Canis lupus familiaris: one gene and its partners. The protein of the gene in region 2 binds, or shares a complex with, the protein of the main gene of each other region. Links are inferred from orthologs where the notes say so. Each region holds a gene or a part of one and is shown on either strand. Other genes may lie near its edges. The genes, in order: STK11, CAB39 and STRADA.

Region 1 (7,816 bases), on a different chromosome or scaffold from region 2:
TACCCTTGCACTTGCAATGGGACGGGAAAGCAAGGAATTCCCCAACGCAGCACAGGAGCCACCAGCAGGAGGCAGGTGAGGCCTGACGGTGGAGCGCTGCACCCCAACAAGGCCGCCATGGGGATGACCTAGAAGCCTGACATTAGAAAAGCAAACTGGCTGGGCCGGAAGGGCAGGGGTCCAAGAACCACGCCTGAGAGGCCACAGTGACTGCCCCGCGACTAGACGGCGGCAGCGAGCAGCAAGCGATTTCCACATTTCTCAACAGCCGACAGAAGAAAACCCCACAAAGGACAATGTTTTGTAACACACGAGACTGAAAAGTGAGTCGTGGCGTCTGCACACTGTCGTGGGTGCAGCCACTGGGTCACACACCTGCGGCCTGTGGCTGCCTTCCCGCTGCTCCAGCACGGACGTGCAGCAGTCCGAGGCCTGCAGGGCCCAGCCGGTTTACTACCTGCCCTGTGAAGTGCGCCAGCCCGGGGAAGCAACTGTGCAAAAGGGGAAGAACGTGCAGTTTTGCCTATACCCGCACAAAACCCCACGGGCAGGACACGCGGCAGCAGATCCCCCTAGTGCCCCGAGAGGGGAGGGAGTGAGGGAGACTCCACAAACGTTTGCCTTCTTCCCAACTCTTATGGGTTCAATCCATGTGATTCTGCTGCCTGTCAGAAAAACAAGTGAACATGACTTATCTTCTACAAATGATGCGGGATAAAAATACAACAATAAAAACGATGAGGGGTGACTGGGTGGCTCGACCAATGAAGCATCCCTCAGGTCACGATCCTGGGGTCCTGGGATGGAGCCCCACATCGGGCTCCCAGCTCAGCAGGGAGTCGGCCTCTCCCTCTGCCCAGCGCCCTGCTCATGTACGCGCTCAAATAAGTAAATAGGGATCCCTGGGTGGCGCAGCGGTTTGGCGCCTGCCTTTGGCCCAGGGCGTGATCCCGGAGACCCGGGATCGAATCCCACATCGGGCTCCCGGTGCATGGAGCCTGCTTCTCCCTCTGCCTGTGTCTCTGCCAATCTCTCTCTGTCTCTCTCTCTCTCTCTCTCTCTCTGTGTGACTATCATAAAAAAAAAAAAAGGTAAATAAATACAATTCTTTAAAATAAAATTGGTGAGTCTATAAAAAGTTTTATCTATAAAAAGATAAAAAAAAACTTGAACACATATGACAAGAGAACATGTTCTGAATTCATGACTGATATATATATTTTTCTTACTTGAAGCTTTCTGAAACTCTCTTGCTGTATAAAAACATGCTAGCTTCAAGGAGCATGAGGAAGAGGGGGGCAAGCACAGGCCCACAGCAGTTCTTGGGAGAAAACCACACAAAGTGGGCACGTCCTGAGCCTCCCCCCAAACTTGATCACAGACGTCATTTTTTTAAAAAAAGCTTCTAGTCCAAGCTGGGACTCCTGAGGCTTGTCTGGAAGGTTCCGGACACTTCACTTGGGAAAAAGCAATTGGAGTTTATTAAGCCTCTCGAAGACAAAGGAGCCTTTTTTTCCCTGCAGCCGGCTGGCAGCAAGGCTGACCCGGGAGCCCAGACCTCCTCTTGCAAGGACACCCCTTTCCTTCTCATGAAAGCCGGGTCCTGAGCTGATGAAACGGGCCAAGTGCCCTACCACTGTGACACCTTATGCCAACTGCCAAGCCAGCTGGGGACTCCCAACACTGCACCTGCCAGGCCTCAGTTTCCCCTCAGGTTCTTCTGATGGACACTGCAGGACCGAGCGCCCTGCAGCCCCAACACTGCACACCCAGATGTCTCCACCAGCTCTGGGGGCCTTGCTGACCATTCAGGAAAGCAGAGACTGGGACGCCAGCGCCCGTCAACCCCCCAGTCAGGTTCTGGTCATGTGTCTCCATGGAGCATCAGGGAACTCTTGTAGGTGGCAGTCTGACCCTGGGTGTGTGCCGTTTGTCAAGTCTCACACCGCGCGTCATGACCGAGTGCCCGCACAACAGGTACGTTGTGCCTCAGCATAGACAGGCATGTGTCCACCGCAACAGGGGTCCGCAGAGTCCTGGGGCCTGCTCCACTCTGCTGCCACCAGCCGCCCCAGAACCACTAGCAGGGTGGGCTTGGGTGCCCCAGCCACAGGTCAACTGGTGCTAGAACCCAGCCCTAGCCCTTGAACGGGACTCACGGATTCTGGGAACCTCGAGGCGCTGCTCCCAGAAGGCTGGGGTCTGGGGAAGCCCCAGCAGCACGGAGCAAAGGAGCCAGCACCCGAACATCTGCACGGACCCGGCTGCCTCCAACTAGCAGGGAAGGGACCGGCACCCTGCTGCCCACACATATCAGGGGATGAGACTGAAGAGGAGCCAGGAGGACCAAGGTGGACCTGGGACACTGGGGGAGGAGCTGTTTCCAGGGCAGGAGCTCACTGTCCCCCACCCCACAAGGGTGGCAAACAGGCAGCCCGAGGCCACATAACTCCCAGGTGCGTCTGGCTTAATGAGCCAACAGGACTTAGAAGCCAGGGGTTGAATGGGGATTTCTGACTGGAGGTGAGGGTCACCTGGACCTCAGGGGGTGCTGGCTTGCCACCTGCCTCAGTCTCCCCCACCCCACCTCACAGGTAAGAGGCTGGCCCCAGGGCACCCGGCCATCCCTTCTCGGCGCCCACAGGCTGGGCGACCAATGAAGCATCCCTCAGGTCACTAGGGATAAAAAGACCTCGCCACAACACCGCCAGGCTTGCCTTCGGACCGCACGGGAAGACGACCGCCCCGGCCAGCTGCGCATCAACAGCAGAGCCAGTCCGGTTTGGGTTCCCCGTTCCATCCACAGCTTCACCACGCCCAGACCCAAGCCAGCCCGGAGCGAGGGAACACAGCTCAGCTTCTGCGTGAGAGCCAACCCGGCCAGGAAGGGGGAGGTGCACGCGGATAGGGGAGCAGCACTTTCCAGGATGGGCCTGGAGGGACGTCCAAGGTCGTCAGTCCTGCTGCCTGGCCCGAGAGATAAACCCCTTCTGGGAAACTGGAGGCTGGGAGGAGCAGGAGCCCAGGCGGGGCGGGGACCCAGTGGGTGGCAGCCATGAGGAGGGACGCCCCCTCCTGAGATCAGCGAGAGGGATGGAGACGCACCCCCCCCCCCCGCCCCATCCTTGGGGGTTGGGGAGACTCCAGCACAGACTTCAACACCTCTGCGACGCCTAGGGGCTGACGCGCCTGAAGAAGTTTGGGTAAAAAGTTTGCCAGGACACAATCTGGTTCCTCTCCCAGGGAGTCACCTGGGCCTGCAGTCACGGATGTGTCTGGTGTCACATCCCAAGTGAGTAAGAAAAGGCTGAGTTACCCCCTGCTGACCGATAAGCCAGGGCAAACAATTATTTTTGGCAACCGCAGGGCTCCCCTCCAACAGGGTAAACAAATCGCATTTCGCCTGGCCCTAGTAACAGCTGCACGCTGCGCTGCGCAGAAAACCTGCTGGTGGTGGCCAGGGCCGTTTAGGAACACAAATTCTCAGAGCCAAATAAACATTGGCTGGTTACACTGGGCACCTAAATTCTTTCGACAGCTGGGAGGGTGAAGGGGGGGGATGGGACGCACCCTCATCTGGAAAAGGCTTGGACGCCAGCATCGGAAGGAAGGGGACACCCAGCTGCCGCAAGCTGGCCTGACTCGCCGCACGGTACCTGAGCAGGTTCCCAACAACACCTGCCCTGGGGAGGAGGACACGGGAGCTGCCCGGGCACCTCGACAGTTTAAGGAACGGGAACAAGCAAGAAGGAAAGGGGGGAGGATGACCGACCTTGCTGGCTGCCCGCGCAACGACCCAGGAAGTCCACACTTACTTCTTGACGTTCGCCTCGCCGTTGGGGATCCTCCGCAACTTCTTCTTCTTGAGAATTTTGACAGCCCTCCTGCACAGCGTCTCCGAGTCCAGCACCTCCTTCACCTTGCCGTAGGAGCCCTCCCCTAGCAGGTCTCCCATCAAGTACTTGCCGATGAGCTTGGCCCGCTTGCGGCGGGGCTGGTAGATGACTTCCGTGGAGTCGATGCGGTGGATGAACGTGTCCATCCCCACGGACATCAGCTCCCCCTCCGTAAACATGCCCAGCTGCTGCGGGTCGGCCACATCCATTCTGGACCCAGCGCCTCCGACTGTGGCCGGCGGTCCCTTATCTCCCTTATCTGCTGCCCCTGGTGCGCGGTTCTTCCTTTTGTCCCCCTAAAATTCCCTTCTCCAAAATAAAAGGCCCGAAAACAAACCCTCCCTCCCCCCCCCCAAAAAAAAAGTCAACAAAAATGCAAAAAAAGGAAAAATCGAAAAAAAAAAAAAACAGGAAAACCCCTGTCCGGAAAGAAACGATTGTACTAGTCGTGAGTTCAAGAGGCGCGCGTGGCCCGGAGCCCCGGCGGCCGCGGGCGCGGGGCGTCGCAAGTCTGGGTGCCTGCCCGCCTCGCGGCTGCGGGCCGGGCCGGCGCGTCCACGGGGGCCCTCCGGAGGCCGGTGGGGCTTCCGAGCGCTAGGTCATCCTCCAGGGACTTCAGACCCTCGGACGAGCGCCGCTGCGGCCGGGCCGAGTCCCCTCCGGGCCGGGCATCACCAGCGGGCCGGGGCGCGCGCCCAGACAGGGCCCCGCGGCGACCCGCCGGCCCCCGGGCCCCGGGCTGCGCAGCCGAGCGGTGCCGGCGGCCGGGCGCGCTGCTGGGGGCGGCTCCCGGCGGGGCCCGCCGTCCCGGGGGCCCGAGGCCGCGGCGGGCGCCTCTCCGGACGGCGCGGGGCGCAGCGGCGTCCGCCCCCGCCAGCCCCGGGCGCGCGTCGGGGGGCCGGGGGGCTGCCCGGGGCCCTCCCGCCGCGGGGAGCAACTTCCGTCGGAGCCGGCGCCCCCGCAGCGGCCGCCCCCCGCCCCAAACGGCAGCCCGCGCTCGCTCTCGGCCGCGAACGCCGCCGGCCGCGGGCCGCGGGGCGCGGGCACCCGGAGGGCTCCGAGCGGCCGCGGCGGCGCAGGCCGAAGGCCCGGGCCGGGGCTTCCCGAGGCCGCCGGGGCCCGGACGGCGAGCGCCCCCGCCGCAGCCGCCGCGCGCGTGGAGCAGGCGGGGCGGCGCGGGGGCCCAGCCCATGCAAGGCGCCGCGGAGCCGGCCGGCGCCCGCCGCCGCCGCCGCCGCCGCCTCCCGCGCCCCGCCTCAGTCGCGGACACCCCGGGCCGCCTCCCCCTTCCGCGCCCGACACGCCGCCGCCATCTTGTTTACCTCCCGCCCCCGCCCTGCGCCGCCGCGCCGCCGCACGCCCGCCCCTGCCGCCGCCGGCGTGCCCGCCCATTGGCTGAGGCGGCAGGCCCCGCCCCCGAGGCCCGCCCCGCCGCCGCCGCCGATTGGGCCGTTTGGACCCAGGCGGGCGCCCAAGTGGGGATTGGCTCACCCTCGGCCCCGCCCCGGGGGCGGCTACCGCTCGGCTCATTGGGCCGCCGAGGCGCCCGTCACGGGGAGGCGGGGCTGGCGGGAAGCGGGCGCGCGGGGAGTCGCTGCGGCGGCTCGGCCTCGGAGGGGCGCGGGGCGGCGGGCGGGGGTCGTGGGCGACAACGGCCGCCTGGGAACGGCTGTGCGGCGGGCAGCGCGCCCGCGGGCCGGGGGACTGGGCTCGGGGGCCCCGGGGCCACGCGGCCGGCCAGCGGGCGGAGCCTGCGGGGCTGGGCGGGGGGGGGGGGGGGGCGTGAGGTCGACCCCGCGCGGGGCGTGGAGATGACTCCGAGAGTGCCCGGAGCGGTCCGTTCGCGGCCGAGGGCCCGTGCCGAGCGTCCCCGGGAGCTGGGGCCGGGAGGGGGGGGCGGCAGCTCGGCAGGCTGGGCTACGCGGGCTGGAGGAAGCCCCCGCGCCTCCCTTGCGGCGGGCCGTCCTTCCCCGCCTTTGTGCCTTCACGTCCTCCGAGATTGTGTTCCCGGAACCGTCGGCCCGTCCCGCGTGAAGCTCGGACTCGCCCCAGCCCGGGCCTGGGGACTGGGGGCGCTGGCACTCCGGGGTGGGCTGCAGGCCGCGGTTCTGAGCCCAAGACCTGCCGGGTACCCACGGCCGCGTGCGTGAGGCACCAGGGGACAGCGTGCGAGGGACAACGTGCACCGAGGGACAGCGTGCACCGAGGGACAGCGTGCGAGGGACAGTGTGCAACAAGGGACAGCGTGCAACGAGAGACAGCGTGCGAGGGACAGCGTGCACCGGGGGACAGCGTGCAAGGGACAGCGTGCAACGGGGGACAGCGTGCAACGAGGGACAGCGTGCAAGGGACAGCGTGCAACGAGGGACAGCGTGCAAGGGACAGCGTGCACCAAGGGACAGCGTGCAACGAGAGACAGCGTGCAACGAGGGACAGCATCCACTGGGAGACAGCATGCACTGAGGGACAGCGTGCACCGGGGGACAGCGTGCGAGGGTCAGCGTGCACCGGGGGACAGCGTGCGAGAGACAGCATACACCGGGGGACAGCGTGCACCGGGGGACAGCGTGCACTGAGGGACAGCGTGCGAGGGACAGTATGCACCGGGGGACAGCATGCACTGAGGGACAGCATGCACCGGGGGACAGCATGCACCGGGGGACAGCGTGCTAGGGACAGCGTACACCAGGGTACAAGTGCAATGAGGGACAGCGTGCAAGGGACAGTGTGCACCAGGGGACAGCGTGCACCGAGGGACAGCGTGCACCGGGGGACAGCGTGCACTGGGGGACAGCGTGTGAGGGACAGCATGCACCGGGGGACAGCATGCAAGGGACAGCGTGCGAGGGACAGTGTGCACCAGGGGACAGCGTGCACTGAGGAACACCGTACACCGGGGGACAGTATGTGGGGGACAACGTGCATGGGCTTCACCCCATTCCCGGACCAAGGACATCTCAGAGATCAGGGCGGAAAACCATCGGGGAAAACCCATGAGACCAAGAAATTGTTCTCTGAAAGGATTTTGAAGAAAATGACGGACCTCAGACCAGATTGGCCAAGAAAGAGGAGCGACGTCAAGAATGACCGAAAGGATGTCCCTACAGACGCCGCAGATATGATAAAGGATCGTGTACTGGAAACAACTCTGTGCCAGTAAATCCAACATCCTCGTTGCGATGGGACAGCACCGTGGAGGACCCCAAGACGAGAGCTCCCTCAAGAGGAAATAATCACCGTAATCTCAGAATGAACGGAAACCTGCAGTGAAAATGTTTTCAACAAAGACAAGGAAGGCCTAGACCTTTCGTTGGTGAATTTCCACCAAACGCTTCAAGGAGAGGGGACACCACTTTTAGACGATGTCTTCCGTAGAACAGAATAGGACGGGGTGCAGCCCAGCTCGATCCCTTTGGTCTCGCCCACTGCTGTGGCTACTGGCTTACACCCCGCGTTCCGGAAATCTCGGCGTCGGTAGGCTTCCCGCGCCTTCCCGGGCCTTCCCGGAGCCCACCCCCCTCTCCTGATGGACAGGAGTCCCCACAGAAGGGACCCAGGACATGTTCAGTGACCACTGTAGAAAGTCCACGAAGGCACCAGGTCAGCTCAGATGCACCCCCCCCAGGAACCCGCCCCCCCGGGGCACTCCCTGCAGCACAGCCCCGTATGATTTCCTGTTCAAGACTTGTCACCATGAGAAGTTGTCCCATACCTTCCTTTACCTGGTTTTGTTCCGTCTCTGGCACTAGACTGGAGCTGTCTGGGACTAGGACTGGGTCTGTCGCTCTGTGTCCTCAGCTATGAGAGCTGTGCCATCCCTGACAGTAGCCACTGACCACGCGTGTCTATTAAGCTCTATAGAGTGGTTGTCCAAACATGTTCTTGTGACTACACACAATTTCCAAGGCTTTGCATGGAAA
Region 2 (7,059 bases):
TTTCGTTTTAAATGAGTTAAATAACATTTAAAATTCAATCCCTCAGTCATACTAGCCAAATTTCAAGTGCTTAGTAGCCACATGTGGCTAGTAGTAACTACCGAAGTGGACAGCACAGGTATAGAACACTTCCATTGTCAGATGAGAAAGTTCTGGAAGACCTGTTTTAAACCTGGGCATCTGAAACAAAATCGTGGTGCCAAATTAGAGAAATGGGGAAGCAGGGGAGGGTGGCTGTTTTGCAAAGGGAGAGAAGATTTGAATTTAGATAGGGTAGTGCTTATGGTAGACCTTTAACTGAAGTTGTCCAGAGGCAACAGAAAATGCCTAACTAGAGTCCAGGAGCAGATGAGAGTAGGGGAATTTAGTCCCGGTGGGAGCCATGAAGTGCTGTGGCTGCTCACTAGCAAGCTGGCAGCCCTGGAGGAAGGAATGCCCTCAGCCCTGCAAGAAATAAGAACAGTTCGAGCAGTAGAAAGAAGAACTGAGAGAGCTTTTTCTTTCCTTTTTCAAAGACATAAATGCAAAGGTCGGCACTGTTGGGACACTAAGTAAAATTTATGTTGTGAGAGAAGTTTGGCTTAGCCAAGAGAAGGTGTTTTGCAAGTAGAATGTTGGGAAAGGCAGAGAGAATGCAGCAGGAGGATTGGAGGAGACTCTATGTTCGAAAGACACAAAGCTGCACCTGCAGCCCCAAAAGGCAGTGGAGGGGCCAAGGCCAGTCTGCACCCCTCAGAGAGGAGCAGGCGGCTGGGCTAAGAGGAAGACGGGGGTGGAGGGAGTGGGGGCTCCTTTCTGACCGAGCTGAGCCACAGACGTGTGTGCGTGACTGATGCCAGGGTGTCCCCAACACCCACCACAAGAGTTCTCCAGGCTCTCCTTGATAAGCACCTGGTAACCTCCTCAGAATTAGGCTTTCAATTTTGTGGGGTTCACGTTGCCAAGAGTCTTGAAGGTTCTATTTTGAGTATAGAATTGAAACAATGAGGTATAAATGCTATATATTTGTTAGACCTATTTAGGTACCATGAGTTTGGGAAACGATTTTATTTGTTTCATAATAGTTTTTGATTTCTGAAGTCTTAGAGCACCACATGTAAAACTAACCCCTGTTTGGAGGTGTGACCCTAAATACTCAAATCTTTTAGCTTTAAATAATAAATGTTTATTTATTATTATTATTTCTATATTTTTGTTTTCCTTTGGACTGCAGCAGTTGTCACCAGCTAATGTGTGTGTGCATTCTAGAGTAAATTCACCTGAGCATATATCCTACTCTGAGAGAGATGTCTTTTGTAACCTGCTCTAGTCACTTAATTAAGACACATCTGAGACATCTATTTGAAAAATTTGAACTGTTCAGCATTAGAGGAGTTTTAAAACAGCAATCATGATTTATTTTTTTCTTTTTGTAGGTATGAATCTCCAGAAATAGCTCTAAATTGTGGAATAATGTTGAGAGAATGCATCAGACATGAACCACTTGCAAAAATCATTTTGTGGTCAGAACAATTTTATGATTTCTTCAGATATGTCGAAATGTCAACATTTGACATAGCTTCAGATGCATTTGCCACATTCAAGGTAACATGAAACTATAGAATTCTAAATATACTTGTAAGTCCAGTTAACTGGTTTGCGGTTTTTCCCTAAACTTCTAACCTCTAAGTCTATACACGGCTGCCCTCTAGCGGGAAGAGAGAAGATATGTTTTATGTGTGTCCATGCGACTTAGGCTAATGCAGTGGAGCCACAGCTTAAAAAGGATGGAAGAGATAGATTCTAACCTCTATCTAAAAGTATGGTCTGTATGGTCAAAAGTACACTTTTCTGTTAAATTACTTACCAAGTGTGGTATACTGATATACAGTACGTCTAATAAACAGGTTTTTCTCCTGTGTTGGAACATACTACAGCAATTTCTTTGGTTAAACACCAAAGTTGTCATCTGTTCAGAGCCATGCTGATTTGGAACAGGCATGTCTTTTAATACTAGAACCACAATCAGGGCAAAGAGATTATGTTGTAGTTAGGCCCAAAGGAACAATGGACTTAGGTCTCCTACTCATGCCAAAACTTATTTATCAAATACTTCAGGAAAGGGGAGCAGAATCACCTGCCCTATTCAAATTATTATGTAGCCTCCCTTCCCTGTATACTTTATCTCCTGTTCTGTATTTGTATAAATTAAATACACATATGATATGATACTGCTGTACAACATGCACATTTTTGCTTTGAATTGTAAGGTTCTATGCTGTTTATGGTATATAGGCAGTAATATTTATTAGTGTTCTTCATAATTAAAGTAAGCCTTTAGATGTTCCATTCCCTTATGTAAAATGACCTTATGAGTGAATATTTAGAACTGCTACTTTACTGTAATCAGAATTTAATATACTAACCTGAAGACTACTTTGCTAAGAAACCATGAACACTGTTTTAGTGAGAAGTAGCCACTTTTCTCATGAGATTTCAGTTTTATGAAGGTAAAGAGCCCTTGAGATAATGAGCACACGCCTTGGTCTCTGGGTAAAATACGTTCCTTACAGTGAATGAACACCCTTGAAACAGGATGAAAACCTGGGGACCTGGCCATTAGGGTTTCACATGGAACGAGAATATGGTAATAGTGTGAGAGGTGCCTAAGGATTTATTTTCCTGAAACCATTAAAGAGGATATCGGAAGCCCTAGGTAAGATCTCAGATGTTTATGTGTCAATGTACAAAGCTAAATGAACTGAATGCCAGGTTCTAGCAGAGTAATAAATGTGGTGTCTTTTGTATCTCTGCATTTTGGGAATAGGACTCATAATTAGGATATATTGGTGGAAGGGGATGCCCATTCAAAAGCAGCAGGCCTGTTACAGAGGGAAGTATGGTAGCACCATGTGTTGTGGTGAGATCCTCCTGTGTGGAAAGCAAGCCATGAGCCAAGAGTAGCCTCTGGGGGAGAGGCAGGTGGAGGAAGAGGAGAGGAGCGGCCACAGTGTTGGGAGCACAGTCAGACCCTGACCCGGGGAGGGGCGTGCTCCATGCCATGCTTCTGGCCAAGGTAGCACACCCAGCCAGCAGGTGGGAGAGATGTGTTAACACCTTGCCAGAGATGTGATTCACAGTATTGGACAGTCTTGCTTGGCCTTACTGATAATTTCGTTATCAGCCCTCGGTTAGGGCTGCTGCTTTGAATTACATCCTCGCTAAGGAGAAAGTGGTGGTGATGGAATCACTGTGGGTCAGGCAATCCTGCCAGGTCATATTAGCCAGAGAAGGGGAGAATGGGGCAGTGCTGGGCAGGTGGTGTCGACCTAAGGAAGGAAACTTGCAGACACAGTGCAGGATTCGAAGGATGGACTTGGGAAGAGAGAGGATGACAGTAGGAAAGGGGGATAGATCTGTGTCTCATACTGTCCTCAAAGAATATGACCATACCCCGCTCTCCAGAAACGGTCTCTGCACTTTCAGACAGATGCAGCTCACCCGCAAACCCAAATTTAAAGTCTGTGGAACAGGTGCTGAGTCTCAAAAGGAAATTAAAACTACCTGCTCCAGGGGCACCTGACTGGCTCAGTTGGAAGAGTGTGCGACTCTTGATCTTGGGGTCGTGAGTTCAAGCCCCACATTGGGTTCAGAGACTACTTAAATAAATATTAAAAAAAAAAAAAAAAACTACCTGCTGTAAATGTGTCCAAGATTTGTAGGTTGAATGAATGTGTACTAAGACAGTAAATCAGTGGCCAAATGTTGTTCGTGTTTTCTTTTTTGAGGACTTAAGGAGATGGGGAGGGGCATCAGAAGGCCAACAAATATATTTCCAATTTTTCCAGAATAAAAGAAGGTAGATTCCCCAGAGAGGCTGGTGGAGCTTGGAGCTCGATGTTATACCTGTGTAAGGTTCTAGAAAGTATTTCTAAAGAGATGATTTCTGAGCATTTTGGAAAGGAAACCGTGTACCCACAGCCAGCATGGATTCACGAAGAGAGTAAGTTCAGTCATATTAATCTCATAGATGCCAGTAGATGAGGGGACTAAGAGTGTGTGGCTGCCTGGGTTCATTTCCCAGCTCTGCTGTGGATTTCATCTCAAGTTCTTCATCTGTTAAGATGGAGGTGATAATGCTAGTATGTCAGGGTTATTGTGTCTACACACAATATGTGTGCAGCAAACAGTAGCTATTAGAATTATTCCTTTATGGCCATGAGGATATGCTGAATGTTGAATAATTGTATTTTCATGGAATCAGTGAAGATAGGAGCTGGAGTTTCAGTGTAGTTATTTACATCTAATTGAATGCCATATCCATAAGGTGCTAGGGAATGGATTGCCATCACCCTGGAGAGAATTTTCTGGTGGATTTCCACTGGGCTTTATTTCAGCCCAGCTGAACATTGTTAATGACTTAGATAAAGGGTGACAAAGCCTGCTTATCAAATGTGTAGGTGATGGCTGTGAAGGAAAAGATAGCAGACAATGGTGATCCTAAAATAAGGCTTCGTAGAGATCCAGAGAGGTCAGAATGGAATAGGACGATGATTGAGGTCCCTCCACTTGAGGACCTAACTGTAAATAAGGGATGTGGGAATAAGGTATAGTAATACAGTTATTATTAAATACAGTAATTGCCAAATATAATAATTACTAATGTAGGCAATTTCATATCCTACTCAACCATCTCCTTTACAGATAAGGAGTCTAGAAATATTGGGTGAAGTCAGGCTATAAAATGGGGAACCCAGAATTTGAACCCAGGCAGTCTGCCTCCAGAGCCCACTCTGAGGAAACAAAATTCTAAATATGTCCTGTAAAATTAAATAGTGTGATGCTGCTGCCCCAAAGCTACATGTGACCACATAGTGTGTGACCTAAAGAGCTGATGATGGTCTCACCCCACTATAAGCCATTAAGGTAACAACACATAAATGTGTTCCATTCCAGGCGCTACACTTTAAGAGGCACATAGACAAATAGATGACTTTCAGAAGACAGTAGATGGTGAGGGGGACTCAGAACCTGTCATGCGAGGAGTGGTTAAAGGAACTTGGACGTATTTAGCCTGGAGAAGAGAAGACTCGGTAGGGACTTGCCGTGAGAGCACTACATGTATGTGAAGTGGGATCCTATAGAAAGTGGGTTGAACCTATTTCTGTCGGCTCTGACAGTTTCTGAAAATAACCTGGGGATAGGTTTGACTCTAGCACAGGGAGAACTTTCTAACCCTTAAGAGTTCCATAGGTGAGCCACACAGTTGGAACAATTGAGTCCCTTATCCTAGGACATGGTCAAGCATCAAGGACGAAATTGGGCCGTACAGCTTGCCAAGGCTCTGTGAAATCGAGCCCTGGGCTCAGTGGCATTTCTTTGAAGACCCCAGGGCCGTCTTTGCCACAGGGTGTTTGAGGCCCCAACTTACTGACTTTTAGGAATCTTTTTCAATTCAGCATACCCTAAAAGTTGGCTGCTCAATCTGCTGGGCTCGGGAGATGACCCCTACCTTTCTCCCAGTCCTCCCAAGGCCTTGGATATACTAGAATTCAGATAGGTTAGAAAGCAGAGATCTTGTTCCTCTCCACTGCTAGCTGACCCAGCACCTCGTGTTCTGGGACACATAGCACCCTGGAAATTTTGCACATTTCTGACCACTGACTGCCTGACCTTTTCCCTTTGCTCTGTTGATTTCTGCCCCCACCATGGTTTGAACTCTCTGAAGCTCTTGGCTCTAACCCGTGGGGTGAGGTTTCCTTTTCATCTCTCAGGTAGAGGCTCTGCCCAGGTCCCCACCTCCTCTTTCCCTGCTTAGAATTGGCCATTTTGGGTACTGACTGTCAGCAGTTGCTCCTTTCCTGCCAGCATGTCACTCCTCTCCAGGCCCTGGTGTGGCCCATCTTGACAAGGAGCTTTCATTCTGCTGTGCATTGGAGTCCAGCTCTTTCTTCAGCAGTCTCAGAGTACCCCCTCGGTCTCTCCTAACTCAAGGCTGTTCAGATTTGATTCCTAGATTGACAGTGGTTTCCTGAAGTTTCCTGGTTTCTTGAAACCAGATGGTAATAGAATCTTTCCTAGACGGAGAGATGTTAGAGGTGTGTCCCCCCCCCGCCCCCCGTTTCCTCTGTGGCCCAGCTGTGAGGCTCTTGCTCCTACTTGAGACCTTTCAGAGTGGTTTCCTTACTCAAAACTTTAGTAAAAATCTGTTGCACCACGGGTTTAGGACTTTGCTTTCTAGAGCAGTATTTTCTACCTGCCTGTCCCTAAAATCAACCCCAGTTGAGGAGCCATTGTAGCCATTGACTAGCCCAGCAGTAAGGTCCCTTCCAGTTTTTGGTGTTCTCTTCTGTTAGATTATGGTAGAACAGTGAACACTGTGTTCCTTTTGCAGTACTTCCTTATATTGGTCTCCAGAGTGATTTAGCCACAAAAAAAGTAGAAATGACACTTAGTTTTGCATGGATCCTGACACACTAATCCCTTAATTCGCTTATTCACTTGTTCATTCTGCTTACTCCACAAGCCTGAGTGCCGACCCCATGTCAGGCACCATTCTTTCGGCAGTGGGATTCAGCAGTGAACCATGCACATCCCTGCCCTTGAGGCTCCTACACAGGGGAGGTCACCACACACAGATTACAGTCACATATAGAAGGAGGAAGTGCCCTTCACAGGCTTGCTTGACATTCCCTTCGAGTTCTTGTGTACCTCTGCCCCTGATAGCTGACCCCTGTGGGCCAGTGTACTAAGATAATATAAAGTCTCCTTTCCCTTCTCTGCTCCAGCTCCTACCCCACATAGGGAAGCTTCATGGCATTTCTTTTCCAGCTTCTTAAGGATGCTCAAACTCCAAATTTTCTAATTTTGTCGATTTAATCCCCAAGGGAGATTTGGAAAAAATTAGATAGGTCTTTCCTGGGTATACAGTCTGTACCCTATCCAGCAGTTTGAACACCTGTAAATCTTTGGGGAGGATTTAGAAGCCTTCTTAAAAGCATACTTTGAAGATGACTTGTGATGTTTTCCCAAACCTATTCCCTGATTTTGTTGGTTCATTCATTTATTTGTTAAATATTA
Region 3 (7,577 bases), on a different chromosome or scaffold from region 2:
TTAGTTTCCCATGACCCAATTAAGTCTGCTTTAGGTAATCTATTCAAGAGAAATAAAAACATATGTTCACATAGACTGGTACATGAATATTCATAACAGCAATGTTCACAATGGTGCCAACCTGGAAACAATCCAAATGTCTATCAACTCATAAGTAAAAAAAAAAAAAAAAAAAAAAAACGTGTAATACTACTCAGCAATAAAAAGGAACAAACATAAATACAATCATATCATGTTAAGTGAAAGTCAGATATAAATATACATATTGTTTCCATATACATGAAATTCCAGAAAAAGTAAAAATATGACACAAAGCAGGTCATTGGTTGCCTGGGACCAAGGGTGAGATGAGGAACTAATTTCAAAGAGACGCATAAGAACTTTCTGGGTGACGGAAATTTCTGTACCTTGATTGCATAGTAGTTACACAAATGTATCTGTTGAAACTCAACAAACCATACATTTAATGTAGGTGTGTTTTATTGTAGGTATATTATATCTCAACAAAAATTATTTTAAAAGTAAAATGACTAAAATAAATAATCGGAAATACCTTTGAAGAATCCCTGCCACATTTCTCTTCTTTTTTTTTTTAGGTGGGTTGGAGTTTTGAGGGATTGTGGTAGTATATAGTATAGCAATGGGAATACAAACTTAATCAGGTACATAGAGTTCTTGGAATCCTTTGAACTGCTTAGAAATCAAAGCAATGGTTTTTAATCGAAATCACCTATAGATTTTTATCAAATTGCATTTATCCTCACCCCTATCCTAATCTTCTCATAGAAGATCATCACCATGTTGAGAATCATTTATCCTGGCATGAAATAGTAAAAATATTGACTAAATTTGAAAAATAAAAAGATTATTAGAGTGCAAATTATTTAATAACATTAAACACAAAGCATTGTACAAAAGAAACTTAAGAGGAAACAGGATCCATATCCATTTGTAGTCTATAACAGAAAGAAAATAGAATATTAATGTAGATAAAAAGATGATTGTTATCTGCAGAACTGTCCAGCTCTGGAAAATACTGGAAATAGAAAATAAAGTCAATCCCTAAACACCATATAAATTAATATAACAAACCTAAGAACTGGTCCTAGACTACCACATCAACAGCTTCTTTAATTATCTGAACATTGGTTCTCAACCCAGGATGTGTTTCAAATTAACTTGCATAGTTATAAAAAACCTATGGATGTTCAAACTCCCATCTTCAAAAATTTTTAATTCGGCAAGGTCTGGGGAATGCACAAGCAGAAATGGGCAAGCCCTTACAGTGTTCAGGAAAAGGGAAGATGGTTACTATAAGCTGAGATAGACCTGGATAGTTTTATTGAAGGGGTGGGGCTTCAATGTCAAATAGGAGGAATTCCAAGCATGAAATAGTAGTAGCTACTGATTTTTAGTGCTTACTTTGTTTTGTCCACATGTGTATCTCCCAGTTTCTAGAATAGTGCCTACCTGTCATAGAGTAGGCACTCAGTAATGTTGATTGACTGACCCAAAGTACCGAGAAGTATGTTAGCACTTTGCATATTTTCTCCACTTATTTTTTTTTAATTTTTTTAAATTTTTATTTATTTATGATAGTCACAGAGAGAGAGAGAGAGAGAGGCAGAGACATAGGCAGAGGGAGAAGCAGGCTCCATGCACCGGGAGCCTGATGTGGGATTCGATCCTGGGTCTCCAGGATCGCGCCCTGGGCCAAAGGCAGGCGCCAAACCGCTGCGCCACCCAGGGATCCCTATTTTCTCCACTTAATGTGAGGCCAGTTATAGAAGCACAACTAACTCCAGATAAATGAGAACAATGAAGAGGCCTTATATGCATCGATTTTCTTCAGCACTAGGAAGCCACTGTAGGTTTTGACCAGAATGGTGACAAACACAAAACAGTGGTCTAAGATAGTCTAGTCTCTCAAACTTCATTGTGCATTCAAATAAATTGAGGATCTTATTAAAAGTGCAGGTTTTTTTTTAAAAAAAAGTGCATGTTTTGATTTAGAAGGTCTGGAGCGGGGCCTGGTACTTCTAATAAACTCCCAGATGATGATTATGTCGCTGATCTGTGGACCATCGTACTAATGTTTGAGAAGCCTTGTTCTAGAAATATTCTAAGGAATATTAATCTGCAAAGGGATGGGAGAAGGTAAGGGAATTCTCTGGAATTCCTCAGAGAAAGGAATTCCAGTTAGAACACAATTATATGGGCCATATTTGGTGTGATAAGAGTTGTAGCAGAGGGAACGTTAAGAAACAGATGGATAGGAAATGAAGGGAAAATAAAGAAATTATATTTAGTTAGTAAGGACATCATAAGTCATCTAGCCCATCCTCCACCCTTCGGAGGAACAGCTTTCACAAACTCCTGGATGTAAGATTATTTAGCCTCTGCTTGAAAACTTCCCCAGCCAGAGACTTACTACCTTATCGGGAACCTATTCTACTGTAGACAACTTGAATGACTCCGATTTTTTTTTTCCCAAGTAACTGGGAAAGAACAGTGTGTCAGCGACAAAACAGGAAACTCAGAGGTGGAAGCGGTTCTAGTGGAAAGATGAGTTCGAGTTTTTAAATCATGTTGAGGTTGAGAAAATAGTTATGTATCTCAAGTGAGAAGATATAGCAGTTGGTTAGAAAAGTAAGACTGATGCTTAAGAGACACATTAGAGATGACTATGTGGGCCTGGGAGATAGCGCCAAAGCTATACAAGTGACAAATGCACTGAAAAAAATGCGGAGAGAAAAGCAGAAGGCTGGGAAGCAAGCCTTGGGATAGGTCTATATTGGGGACATCATACCTGAGGGCAGGTAGGAAATGGGAGTCCAAAGAAAAAATTAATTTCTTCCCCTCTTGGACCACCTTTGCTCCCTTGGCCTTGTTACCTTTAACCTGTAGTTCCTTACTACTCATCTCAGGTGTCCTGTGCTACAGAAGTCCTCTCTAACTGCCCCCCGCCTCCCCTTCCCCTACATGTTAGGTGTCAGCCTCCATATTCAACCCTCACACTTACCACAATGCTAATTGCCAATGCATCTTGCTCACTATTGCATTACCAGGGGCTATTGTGCCCAACATATGAGATGGGCACTCCCGTATCTGTTAAACTGTTAATCGCAAAAATAATAAAAGCAGCAAGCATTTATGGTGAACTTACGAGATGCAAGGATCTGTGCTAAACGCTTCACACAGATCAGCTCACAATAAGTACTATCTTCCTCATTTTACAGATCAGGAACTTAAAAGCTCAGAGAGGGGATCCCTGGGTGGCGCAGTGGTTTAGCGCCTGCCTTTGGCCCAGGGCGCGATCCTGGAGACCCGGGATCGAATCCCACGTCAGGCTCCCGGTGCATGGAGCCTGCTTCTCCCTCTCCCTGTGTCTCTGCCTCTCTCTCTCTCTCTCTGTGACTATCATAAAAAAATAAAAAAAAAAAAAAAAAAAAAAAAAAAAAAAAAAAAAAAAAAAAAAAAAAAAAATAAAAGCTCAGAGAGGTTAAATGCCCAAAATTACACGGGCAAGTGGCAGAGGACCAGTTAGATCTGCTCCAAAGCCTGTGCTCCAGCAACCACAGTGATTATAGAGCAGTCCAGGGGAAAGTGTCTACAAAGATACAATGATGACTGACTGAGAAGACATCACCTGATTTGACAGTGCTGCTGACCAGATGCCAAATAGTATAGAAAAGAATTAATTCACCTTGATTTATTATTTTTTTTTCCTTTTCCCCTATTTTTGTCACTGTTTTTCTAAATTTCATCCAGGTCTGCGGTTACAACTACAAACACTAACATCTGAGTCACAATACCCTAAGAAACCTGTTTGAAGGGTTAGGGAATAGACTTAAGTTCAGCACTGTAACAAATGGCTGAGTAGGCTCTTGGCCTAAGGCAGGTAACCAAATGAGACTCAGCTTCTTCAATTCTCAAGAATAAGAAACAATCTTGGGTGTCTTTCAACAGCATGAATCAGTCAAAGAACTGTCCTAATGCCTCAAATACACACTGGAATATGGTTCTACTTCAACAGGTATTATACAGTAAGAAAAGGACCAATTCGAACGGCTTTTCCTTTTTGGGGAAAGTCAAGTTAGAATATGGTAGGTTATCTTAAAAGAAGGCTGGGCAGAAAAATTAGTCCCCCATTTCCTGGAAACTGGAACAATTTTATTTAACCACTCTCCTTTCCTCGCGCTCACTTCCCTACCCCCACCGCCCATCTCCACCCCTAATCTGTGGGCACCCAAACATTCTTGGAAAACAAGACATTAGAAGCTCTTTGTTTTTGCTGATTCAGGGAGTCCCCTAAATCTCTCTCCTAAGGGGGCTTGATTCGCTGCCGGTCCAGCCTGGGAGAGATGGGAATTGGGGTGGTGGGATGGGACAGAAGGTCAGGTCAGCACAGGATCGGCCTCCTCTTTGGACAGGACAAACTGACACCTGGGCCCCAAGCTCCCCACCTAGGAGTCAGGGGGGAAGAAGGGTACGGAAAACAGGCGCTCGCCCCTCTCGCCCGGCATCTCCGCTCCAGGGTCTCCCAGGCAGGCCCAAGCCTACTCTGCTCTCGGGCTGCAGCCCCTCGTTGCGGGAAATCGAGGAGGACTGGGTGCAAAGGGGCCCGTGGAGGGCGAGGGGGCGCCGGGATGGCCGATCTGACGAAGGCCCGCCCCGGAGGAGATGGAATCGGCGTCAGGGCGAGAAGGGACCGGTCCCTGGAGCGCACCAGGCGGCCCCGCCAGCCCGGTACCTGGTCCTGGAGTTAGCAAGCAGTCCCGACCCCGTCTCAGCTCCGCCTCCTTAGTTTAGGGCCGCGCCGCCAGGCCGGTTGCTGGGGGTGGGGGGAGGTACGCAACGTGCCATGCGCAGTAGCGGGACCCGGGGAGGGCTGGAGAGCTCCGCCCCGCCCCGGCTCCACCCCGGAGCGGGTAAGGAAGCCCCGCCCCCGCCCCGTCCCGCCCCGCCCCCGCCCCTACCCCGCTCCCCCCGGCTCTGAGCGCGTCCGGCGTCTCGTCAGCGGCGCGGGGCTCCGGCGGCAGGTCCTCGGCACTCGCCGCGCGGCGAGCGCGTCTTAGGTTCTAGGTTAGCTCGGTCCGCGCGGCGCGCCCCGAGGGAGGGGTCCCTGTCCCTAGTGTGTGGAAGCCGAAGGCGAAGCTGGTCGACAGGGGGCTCCGCGGAGCCTCCCCGCCCCTGCAGCAGGAAGGAAGTAGGATGATCTCAATAATGAAGAGTCGGGCGGGGCGGTAACTAGAGTAAGGCAAACAAACACCTGGCTGAGGATTTAGCTACTTAAGAAAAAAAAAATTTTTTTTCATTTTGTGTGGTAGTACCTGAATGGAAAAACCGTCTCGCACTTTTCTTTGAAGACCTCCCAAACGCCCCTCCAGCCCCAGACTGGCAAACTGCAAAGGGGAAACCCACTCCTTGTGCCTCAGGTTCCTTATTTGTAAAAGGAGGAAAACAGCTCAGCTAACGGAAACTTTTTCCCCCCACTTCTGGATCTTTTTGTCCCTGGATCCTTCCTTGTGCACAAGCCTGAGGGGCATGTTCTGCAGACCCCCGTCAGGTTTGCCTTGAGCGGGAAGCAAGCCTGAGCAGAGTGAGACTCCTGTGGGGCTTCGTCTTTCCAGGGACCTACTCGGGATGGCACCTGTGTCCAAAGTTGGATGGATCCCAGCAAGGATGGGTCACAGGCTCTTCGCAGCTCTGTCCCATGACACAGATTTATACTGGCCCAACTTCCAAGATGAGAGAATTCAGCTACATCCAAACTGAACGAAAATAGGTGAATGTGAACTTTGCCGGTGACTCCAGGACCTCATTCAGTTTTACATACTGATATCACTTTGATCTCATCTAGTGCTTTAATTTTCTAAAGCAAGATCCACGCTGTTCTCTCATTTTCAAAGTAAGAGGCCTCTCTCTGCAGCAAATGGTAAACTGACGAAGGAAGCTGCTAAAAATTGAAGTAAAATTCTTGGTGTTATTTAGAAGAGGACACCTTCTTCACACGTGGTCTTTGGACCACATCTTTTCAGTGCCTGAAAAGATGCCAAATGATGCAGCCACTGCTCTGGGGAATTAGAACATAAAGGCTCTTCCCAGCACACCTATCCCAGCAGCCATGTCATTTTCTAACTGGATGTTAATCTGCCAAGGAGGCCAAAAGGTCTCACCATCTTCACGACTGCCCACAAAAGCTAGTAAGAGAAACTTTAGGCACAGCTTCAGTTGTGATTGTTCCAAGGAGCAAATTTCCATTCACTTTAGTTTTCCTTGCAAAAGGGCCTCCTAAATCCGGATAATTTAGAAAATCAGTGAAATGAAAGGTCAACTTTCAGAGTTTACAAAGACTCCCTGCTTTGTTTTTGACTTGTGATGAGAAAGTTTTGCTTTGAACTCTAGGCATCCAGTTTAAGTGCACTGGCCTCTTCAAGATATCATATAAATTGTCAGAAAGGTAAGGTAACACTAATTGCCTAAGATACTCAAGTGAGAGAAATGCTTATGACTTTTGGTTTAGTGAATTGAACAGGGTTATTTAATTTATAGAACATCTTTTATCTCAAAAGCACATTACACATGCTGTCTTATATCCTCTGAACAGCCATTTCAGAAGGGGGAAAAGTGGAGAATGCCCACTCATGGAGGAGGAAACAGACTTGTTCAAGCACTAGGACGGCACCAGCATCCCTGTTACAAACCCAGGGCTCTTTTCTGAAGCAGAAAGCTGGCTTCTAGCTTTGCTACAAATGTTCTGATAGTTACATAGAAGAAAAAGATGCAGAAGAAAGAAATTTAAGCATTTAAGCTCAAAATGTGATAAGAACTAATCATTTAAAAAGGCCTAGGTGTCTTAAATAAATAAAAGTCCCACTATTTGGATAAAACCAGATGGGTGAAATTTTAAAAGGCAGTTAATTTTATTTATTTGACAGTTAATTTTAAAAGATGAAAATAAAAACAAAATCCATTAAAAGTGGCATAGTAGATGCAAGTTTCTGCTTTTCAGGGGGAAAAAGTCCGTTTTCTTCTGAAATTGGTTATTTTCAGTTAATGGAGCCAAGATGGCATTCAACTTGTTGTCAACGGATTAAAACCCTATACTTTCTTCCAAATGGAAATAAATCTTTCGCTAATCACCAACCTCCAGAAACTAATACTTTCCACTAATTGTTTTAGCAGTCTGTAGTAGAAGCCACTCTTTTGGGTATAACTGCTTCCTCCCTTTTACATCCTTTCAAATCACTTAAAATGAGTAGGAACAGGAACATAGAAAAGAGAATCTGGGATGATAAAATACAGTATTTTACCCATCCCACCAAAACCAATAGATTCTTTGTATAACACTGCTCTAAATAACTTTCATGTGTCTATTCCTATTGGATGGGTGGAATGAGAATACCAATCAGTGATTCTTTGGTCTAAGTCTCATTTAAAGAGTTTCAACTTTTAATCCATGATAGGAAAAGGTTCTATTACTAAGGAAACAGAAAGGTATTATTCCCCAACCTCCATTCCAAAATACCCTGTCATATTTTATAGATAAAGTTAGAGAACTCTGAAAGGATCTG

Evidence for each region.
Region 1: the proteins of CAB39 (region 2) and STK11 are in contact, whole or in part, in a crystal structure (PDB 2WTK), measured with the Homo sapiens proteins. The link is inferred for Canis lupus familiaris from reciprocal best matches to the Homo sapiens genes CAB39 and STK11. Residues at the interface, in NP_001124321.1 of Homo sapiens: Gln109, Gly111, Thr112, Lys196, Leu197, Leu238, Asp239, Arg240, His241, Phe243, Met246, Ile250, Val280, Ala283, Asn284, Pro285, Glu317, Gln318; in NP_000446.1 of Homo sapiens: Gln100, Arg103, Arg104, Glu165, His168, Ser169, Gly171, Leu201, His202, Pro203, Phe204, Ala205, Ala206, Asp207, Asp208, Phe234, Arg301, Ser307, Arg310, Lys311, Lys312.
Region 3: the proteins of CAB39 (region 2) and STRADA are in contact, whole or in part, in a crystal structure (PDB 3GNI), measured with the Homo sapiens proteins. The link is inferred for Canis lupus familiaris from reciprocal best matches to the Homo sapiens genes CAB39 and STRADA. Residues at the interface, in NP_001124321.1 of Homo sapiens: Leu26, Glu27, Lys28, Gln29, Tyr55, Gly56, Thr57, Asn58, Ala85, Asp86, Gln88, Leu89, Phe92, Glu93, Lys96, Arg107, Glu138, Leu141, Ile145, Ser176, Thr177, Phe178, Asp179, Ser182, Asp183, Glu221, Asn222, Tyr223, Val224, Arg227; in NP_001003787.1 of Homo sapiens: Pro64, Leu104, Glu105, Cys107, Ser108, Asn109, Val112, Gln116, Leu119, His120, Lys123, Leu124, Phe125, Asn126, Thr136, Phe137, Ile138, Asp140, Asn141, Leu143, Tyr185, Met189, His223, Gly224, Arg226, Val426, Asp427, Asp428, Trp429, Glu430.

Annotation. Positions count from the first base shown.
Region 1 is NC_049241.1:58,055,545-58,063,360, forward strand, and holds the start of STK11 (serine/threonine-protein kinase STK11), read right to left. Parts: upstream 4,244-7,816; 5' UTR 4,106-4,243; coding exon 3,816-4,105; intron 1-3,815. UniProt on the Homo sapiens protein: Tumor suppressor serine/threonine-protein kinase that controls the activity of AMP-activated protein kinase (AMPK) family members, thereby playing a role in various processes such as cell metabolism, cell polarity, apoptosis and DNA damage response.
Region 2 is NC_049246.1:42,966,944-42,974,002, forward strand, and holds part of CAB39 (calcium-binding protein 39), read left to right. Parts: intron 1-1,415; coding exon 1,416-1,584; intron 1,585-7,059. UniProt on the Homo sapiens protein: Component of a complex that binds and activates STK11/LKB1. In the complex, required to stabilize the interaction between CAB39/MO25 (CAB39/MO25alpha or CAB39L/MO25beta) and STK11/LKB1.
Region 3 is NC_049230.1:15,211,590-15,219,166, reverse strand, and holds the start of STRADA (STE20-related kinase adapter protein alpha), read right to left. Parts: upstream 4,919-7,577; 5' UTR 4,754-4,918; intron 40-4,753; 5' UTR 1-39. UniProt on the Homo sapiens protein: Pseudokinase which, in complex with CAB39/MO25 (CAB39/MO25alpha or CAB39L/MO25beta), binds to and activates STK11/LKB1.